2 linked regions of the Nothobranchius furzeri genome follow. The protein of the gene in region 1 interacts with the protein of each later gene in a pairwise test. Links are inferred from orthologs where the notes say so. Each region holds a gene or a part of one and is shown on either strand. Other genes may lie near its edges.

Region 1 (3,929 bases):
GGAACTTAAAGAAACAGAATAAAACATTTTCCCATCGTAAAGAAAACTCCCTTAAAATATGGACAGTAACAAACCTGCTAAATTCCTTCCAGAATCTTTGTGTAAAAGAACAGCACCAAAAAAGATGTGTCACAGTTTCTGGATGATCCCCACAGAAAGTACAATTAGTATTTATGTCCCTTAGTTTTGAGTTTTAACCACAGTGACACAAGTGAACGTGAACTTTCTGTTGTGCAAATGTCGTCCTCCTGTGGCTGTTTGGTGGCACTACATCTGGTTAGCAATGGCTTCACAAATTTTTCCATTAGTTGCTAAAAAATGAAGAAAACGGAACATCTGTGATATGAAAGGAATCAAAATAAAAAACATGACTCAGTAAAAGTATAGATATGCAGCTCATGTTTGAAAGGTTTTGTGTTTTATGACTCAAGTTGATTAAATTTGGTTGTTTTAAAATATCACAAATCAATTTGTATATTTAAATATATACATATTAAACATAGATAAGCAGGTTTTCTTAAGGATTGAAAAAAAATTGTGTTCTAATGAAAAAGACCCAGTTCATCTACCTGGTGTGAAAATGATGACATTGACGGTGTATCTTTCTTTTTTTTAGATCACAGATGCTCGAACAAAAATTATGATTTTATTCAATTACTTCGATAGAAGGAATTTTCATTTAAATAAAATGTAGCAATTAACACATATTAATTATGACCAATAAGATGTGATATTCCATACAAATATGAAATATCAATCTGATTGATCTTTGAATGTTTAATCAGAAGATTCTAGGGTCCTTTGCTTATTCAGGGACCAAAAACACACCTCGTATAAATTCAGAGTCAGTGTATAGTTTATAAAATGAATTTTATTATTGCATTCATTATTAGGGGAATATTTCATATAAACTCCCATAAACAGAATATGTTGCCACCAAGTCAAATTACCGATTACAAATAACTGTATATTAAAAGTTTATTTAGACAAAAAAAAGTTAAAAACAACTGCATTTGTTGTTATTTTTGTGAATTTGGTTGACTTTTATTTTTATTTAATAACTTAAACATTTACTGCTACATCAAAATGCATTACTTATTTTTGAAACAAAAATGTGTATCCTTTAAAAATAAAACGTCTGTAAAAGGATGAAAGAGATGGCCATAGAGGTACATTTCTTTCCGGTTGCGTCATGGACAAATTTACATTTGTCCACATGGGGGCGGTAATGAGACCGTATTCCATCGTATTAGGCGGAAGCAGAACTGCGTCAGTGCAGGTTGGTCATCACGCTTTCAACATGGCGGTGAATCTTTCAGACCTCTCCATGCCTCAGTTAGAAGGATTAAAAACCCAACTGGATCAGGTATTATCATCAGTAACATGCTGTATTGGAAGTATTTGTATTTATGTAGCTAAATGCACGAGGTATTGTTAAATAGGAGACCGATGCGGGCTAAACACCCCCGTTAGCGTTCTGTGCCGTAGACAACCGGTGGTGTTGCTAACGGTGTTTCTGTCCCGGGTTGAATCTTTTTGTACATTTTGATGTTTCTTTCAGGAGGTTGAGTTCTTGACGTCTTCGATAAGTCAGTTGAAAGTTGTCCAGGCCAAGTATGTTGACGCGAAAGACAGCTTGAATGTACTGAACCAAAACAATAAAGGTGCGTTTTTAAATCACAATCTGACACAAACTGTTGGCTCCCGAAATGTTTATCCATACCTCTCACAAGAACTACTACTATAAAAGAATGACATTTAAAACAATCGGTACGATTATGATTTTTCATTGTGGTCTGGTGATATGTAGAGTTTAAAAAGTAATTCAATTCAGTTTAATAATACTTTATTAATCCCAGAGGGAAATTAGAGTTTCAGTACACACAATTCTGAGATCAGACATACATACATACATACATGACAAGAATTGGTCGCACAAGAGGGTTTATATGAGGAGATATGCACACAGACTTCAGACATTACACAACATAAGTGTCCACTAGGTGGGGAGGTAGGGTTGGGACTTTCCTCAGGTGCGTGCAGCCGCATGGGGGACAGAGGAGGGACATTAATGGGTTGGAGAGCACAGTGACTCCTAGAAATGGTTCCTTCACTGTGCCTTCACCTGTCAGTCCCGCCCAGGCTGGGAGAGGGAGAAAGAGTTGCCTATTTATTTGGATTGTGACCCATTTCTTTTCTCACAAACAGGAAAGGAATTGCTGGTGCCTCTTACAAGCTCTGTATCCTTTTTAAATTATCCAACATTCATTTTATTTAACCACTGGCATAAAATACATATATGAAACATCCAGGTGAAAGGAGCTGTAAGGTTTTGTCCATCGTTGTGTTATTTACTATCTTCCATCTACTTTCGGTTTCTTTTTTCTAACTTGAAACAGTTCTTCAGCAACACGTTGTTTAACATCTTTACACATTAAAATCATACATTTATTCACACAACTTAGCATCTTAGTGAAGGTGGATTCTTTTAGCATGTTTGTCCTTTACAGTTTTCTCTTCAGATGTATGTCCCTGGAACATTAAGTGATGTGGAACATGTCCTAGTTGACGTGGGGACAGGATATTATGTTGAAAAGGTAATATATATTTAGATATATATTATAAATAAATAAAACAGATTTTAATTAAGAAGAAGCTATTTAAACATGCGTGTTTGCTTCTTTAGAACGTGGAGGACTCAAAAGCTTTCTTTAAGCGCAAAATAGACTTTCTCACAAAGCAGATGGAGAAAATTCAGCCGGCTCTTCAGGAAAAGCATGCTGTGAAACAAGGTAAGGTTAATTGTGTGAATTTGACATTTAAAATCTTTTTTTTTCAGCATTTATAGATGTTCTGCAATCTGTTAGCTCTTTGATTATGTATTGGGAATTAATTGCTGTCAACTACTAACATTTTAATTGATCTCAATAGCTGTAAACCGACTGAGTTATATAGTCAGTTTTGTGTTTGCTATTGTTTATTAGCTGTGGTGTCAGTTGAATCAGAATGTTAAACAGTTTGAGACACATGTACGTTGATTATGTTTTATGAATTCTGTGAAGATCTGATTGTTTAAGAATTTGCGAACAGATGTGAAAACACATGTTTGATAAAAGATAAAAGGGTCAGTGTGTAGTTTTTAATCGTTAATCTCTGGAAATATCCTTCAAAATTAAGCTATTTATAAAACCAGATAACGTATATAATTTCAGATACAAACGTAACTTTAGGCATACATATTTTAGAACAACATTAAAGTCATTTTGTATTTCTGTTACGGGTGTAAGAGTTTGGAATAAGCTAAGTGGGGATCTAAAGCAAAGTCCCTCATTGCATACGTTTAAAGATAAGTATAAAACAATTATACTAACTAATCACATGGAGGAGGAGGAAAAGTTGTAAGGGTGCTGCATTTGATTGTAATTGTCTATGAACTGGGAGCTGTGAATATGGGGGGGGGGGGGGGGGGGAAACATAAAAAATGTAAATTTTGCTTGTGTGATTGAGGATAAAACATGTTATAAGAAAATGGCTATGACAGTGTAGGGAAGAGAATTTTTTTGTTTTTATCTTCCTTGAAATTTGATTTTGGGAGGGGGGGGGGGGGTGATTATACAAGCTACCAGAGCTTTTTTCCCTTCCTATTGAACATGTTTCTATATATATATATATATATATATATGCATATACATATGTATGGGTTCCTTTTTGAATACTTTAATTTGTCTATTGATTTACATGTTCAATAAAGAAAGAAATGAAAAAATGTTGACAATGACAAAGTAAATGATACCCAGTAGTTGATTAATATTGGTGGCTTCTCAACATATAACCATATAAATCTGGGGCCGGGCCTAAGTCTCTGGGCGACACCATATTAGATGCCATGTTTCCTTCTACGGGAGCCCTTAAGGACAAAATGCAATTAC
Region 2 (3,929 bases), on another chromosome or scaffold:
TTAAAATGGTGATAAAAATTTTTGTTGATCACTTTTGGATTCAAATTTTTTTTTCTAGAATGGTTCGTTTGAAATAAGTCTGAAAACACGTTTCAGAGACTGGCTTTTACTTTGAAAGCGTTCATAAGCACTATTTCCGTAAAGCTTTGGAAGTGTGTGCAGTGTAAAAACCGAGTGAGAGCTCACTGTACTGTCGAGTTGAGGCAGGCTCTGCCGCAATGACATAATCTGGTGAGCATGAGAAACCTCTTCCTTTTCTCCATTTTTCCTTTTGTGTACTGGCTCCTGTTCATGAGTCACGTTTAATTATTTGTTGTTTTTCAGTCCTTTACATCCTTTTCGCAAAAATGTACATCATTTTTAAAGCTTTGTGCGTTTTCAAAGCTGACATACCAATAAATTTCGATTGTGTATGCTTAATGACAATGCAAAAGGATCTAATTCTGACATTAACTTTTTTTTAATGTCTTTAAAAATTTCATCCCAGTGCAACAGGATTTATATGCTAGATGAGAAAGATAAATGTTTTTACTTATGTCAGCAACTTCAAAATCCTTTTTATGGCATTTTAATTTATTTGCTGAATGTATGACAGCATTTTAAAAAACATCTGCAAGGCAAATGACCTTAATGAGGACATAAACAACTGAACAGAGAAGCAGATGACCATGATTATTACAACTTCCAGGAAATTACAGTTAAACAAGAAAACTAAAAGGAACATTATGAAAAGTTCAGTTTTCCACCTAAATTCCTTGACTTGAGCTAGTTTTCATTTCTTCTTCAGTGCTGCAGAAATAACAGGGCACTGCTGTCCCTGTCCATCCTCAAAGCATTATGAGACCAGAACTCCTGCTCCACTTTTGGATCCTCCTCCTTCATTGTCTTGCGAGTTTGCTGCCGACTGGCCCTGCGCCTCTCCTTCACCCTCTCCAACCAGCCGGATATTGTAACGTTCTCTGTACTCTGTGAGCTCCTGTCCTTTTGCCTGCATCTGTGTGTTGATGGTCTCGATTATTTTGGAAATCTATTAGAACAGAGGAAGATGGATGAGAAATCAGACAAACGAAACATCCTGCAGTTGACACCTAAACGTTTATTTTTGACTTCAAAACCTATAAACAAAACTCTTTCTTGTGAAATTATGTAGATTAACTCGATGTACACTTATTGTTATTTTGGTGTTAAATAAGTGATTTAAAATGTCTCAGTTTATTCTCCTGATCATTCCTGTGACCGAAATAAATAACATTACCTTTTCTTTGTTGTTTTCTAAGGCTGGTAGAACTTCTTTTACTGTCCTTTCCACCAACACTCCTCCAACCAGACGAAAGCATTTCCTGGAAGGATCCACTTCCTTTAGGGTCTCAATTACTAAACTAAATATGAAAAGAAATAGCAAAGGTATTAAACGGTCTGTCTTTTGGATTGTTTCCCCTACAAAATCTTGTGAAACATTTGTGTCTAGAACATAAATGTAGATGATGCTCCACCAACCTGTGCTCGTTGACATCCATCTCCAGCTCAGCAGCTTTCGAAGCCATACTACGCTGCTCCTGACGCATCCTCTGAAATGTTGCTACCACCTGAAAACAAATGGAATTTGATCATTTTTTTATTAAGTATAATAAATAAATAAAAAACAGATGCTGCTACTCCTTAGTTGTCTACTGAAACCAAACTCTTAAAGTCATAACTGGTAATTAGCATATTACAATTTTGTTTAAAAGATTATTAAATAAATGTACATAATGCAGCAACTCATTAATGGTAAAGGTTTAATTTTATTATCAGATTTAATCTACAACTTTTTAGAAGTAGTGGACATAAACTTTGTTTATTTGATGGTTTTAATCACCATTTACGCAGAGTCATAGACTTTATATGTAAGAAAATAACAAAAAGGTTATGATACAATATGGCAATATTTACATTTTATTATTATTTTTGTAAAACCTGATCAATAAAGGTTTTGACACATATTTGAAGGTATTGCTCGACTCTAATGTTGCCATTATTGTTGTTAAAGGATATATTACGGACTACAGTGCACTGTATTACAGACATTACAGCAGTGATTTGTTTAATATGGTCTGAGTAATAATTTATTAGGGTTAGGTGGACAAAAATAGCTTTATGCTTAGTCACACCAAACCAAACACATTATTTCAAAACCGTAAATACATAGACTAACGTAAAAATTGTTAGAAGTAAGAGTTTGATGTAAACTCTCATAATGTCCTTATTAGACTCCTAACGGTTCCCGATGTCCAAATTTGGGTTTTGAGCCAGATGATCGCGACAGGAATGCTAATGTTAGCTTAGACTAGCTAGGGGCTATACTTTTAGTTCTGCTTTACCAAACTGAGCCAAACAACAACAGAAATAATTGTAACGACAAATGAAACCTTTTTATATAATTGAGAGTACCTGTTCAGCTGAAAGTCCGGACTGTTTTCCGCCGGCGCTGCTGCTGGACTTGCTACCCGTGCTGCTACCGTTCGCTGCCATCTTGGAAGGGTGTTGCCAATTAGGACCCTGCAGCTATCTAATGAGATTGCCTGAGTGCAAATGCGGCTTGTAAAACATCTAAATTACTTTGCAACCATCTTTTACTTTTTCATGTAAAAACTCAGAAGCAGAACCGCAAACAAAATACAACTTAATTCAACATAAAATAAAATGGCATTTGAAGGAATAATTTCTATTAACTTCCATCAACTTTGTATTGTTTTTGTTTTTTCGTGCATACGCTTTTTTATTTTATGTTTATGTTTATTTATTTGGCAGAGGCTTTTATCCAAAGTGACTTGCAATTTATAACGTATGGGGCATGTTTTGATCTGTGGGGGAAACAGGAGTACCCGGAGGAAACCCACGCATGAATGGGGAGAACACGCAACACGCAGAAAGGCCGCAGCCGAGTTTCGAACCTGCAACCTTCGTGCTGCGAGGCAACAGTGCTAACAACTGCGCCACCATGCAGCCCATTTTCCGAATCTAGCTTATTTATTAAAGCAGTTTCTGCATCGTGGAGTTTTAGACGTGTTTTTTCTCTTTCAAATATTCTTTATTTCAGCCAAAGGACATATTAATCATTAAATTAATTAATTTGCACACCGCCAAGACAAGACAAGACAGCTTTATTTGTATAGCACATTTCCTATACAAAGGTAACTTAATGTGCTTTACAGCAGCCTATAGGTAACATCAAAAGCAAAACAAAAATGAACAAAAATAACAAAAGTTTTCATGTTAGACAATAATCAGAAGCACACCGTACATAAATTAAAATCAATAATTAAAAACAAATGAAGAAATACATGTAAATTTTTAATACAAAAATACACTTAAATGCATTTATCGACATTTTTTTATTTTTATAATTCAAACGCTGTAAAGGACTGCTGAAAGCGGATTAACCTCATACAGACCTCTAGATTTTTATTTGCTCTGGGGTTTTCAGAAGATTGAACACATTAAATGTGTTGTTTGAATTTGTTTTCAAAAGCAACAATGCATGGTTTAGTGCACCTGAACTTAAATTTATTAATGTAAAACTTTGCCATAATAATCAGAATGATTACGAAAAGAGTTGTAATTGAGAAACACACAATATTATTGTCAATATGTCTTCAAAGTTGACTGAAATGCGACGTATACGTGCTGTTTATATCTTATTAGTGAACTAGACCAAACGTTTGCTTTGCAAAATAATATATTTATTCAGTCTGGTTTAAGGGTATTTTTGATAGTTATTTATAAACCTGTGTTATATTTGAATGATTATGATGCATTTATAATACTTTAAAAACAATTTTAGGAGTATAAAAACATTGCCAACTCAAAAACTATTCCACATCCTAAAACAATGGACTTTTCATTACATTTAAAGTTTTATTTTATTTTATTTATTTATTTTTGTTTTT

What was found.
Region 2: the proteins of pfdn5 (region 1) and pfdn2 interact in binary tests that used the Homo sapiens proteins (3 or more experiments, as listed by UniProt). The link is inferred for Nothobranchius furzeri from reciprocal best matches to the Homo sapiens genes PFDN5 and PFDN2.

What each region holds. Positions count from the first base shown.
Region 1 is NC_091743.1:50,185,932-50,189,860, reverse strand, and holds the start of pfdn5 (prefoldin subunit 5), read left to right. Parts: upstream 1-1,177; 5' UTR 1,178-1,192; coding exon 1,193-1,366; intron 1,367-1,561; coding exon 1,562-1,664; intron 1,665-2,208; coding exon 2,209-2,240; intron 2,241-2,522; coding exon 2,523-2,597; intron 2,598-2,686; coding exon 2,687-2,792; intron 2,793-3,929. UniProt on the Homo sapiens protein: Binds specifically to cytosolic chaperonin (c-CPN) and transfers target proteins to it. Binds to nascent polypeptide chain and promotes folding in an environment in which there are many competing pathways for nonnative proteins.
Region 2 is NC_091742.1:74,821,008-74,824,936, reverse strand, and holds pfdn2 (prefoldin subunit 2), read right to left. Parts: upstream 2,734-3,929; 5' UTR 2,512-2,733; coding exon 2,431-2,511; intron 1,587-2,430; coding exon 1,498-1,586; intron 1,380-1,497; coding exon 1,256-1,379; intron 1,028-1,255; coding exon 836-1,027; 3' UTR 553-835; downstream 1-552. UniProt on the Homo sapiens protein: Binds specifically to cytosolic chaperonin (c-CPN) and transfers target proteins to it. Binds to nascent polypeptide chain and promotes folding in an environment in which there are many competing pathways for nonnative proteins.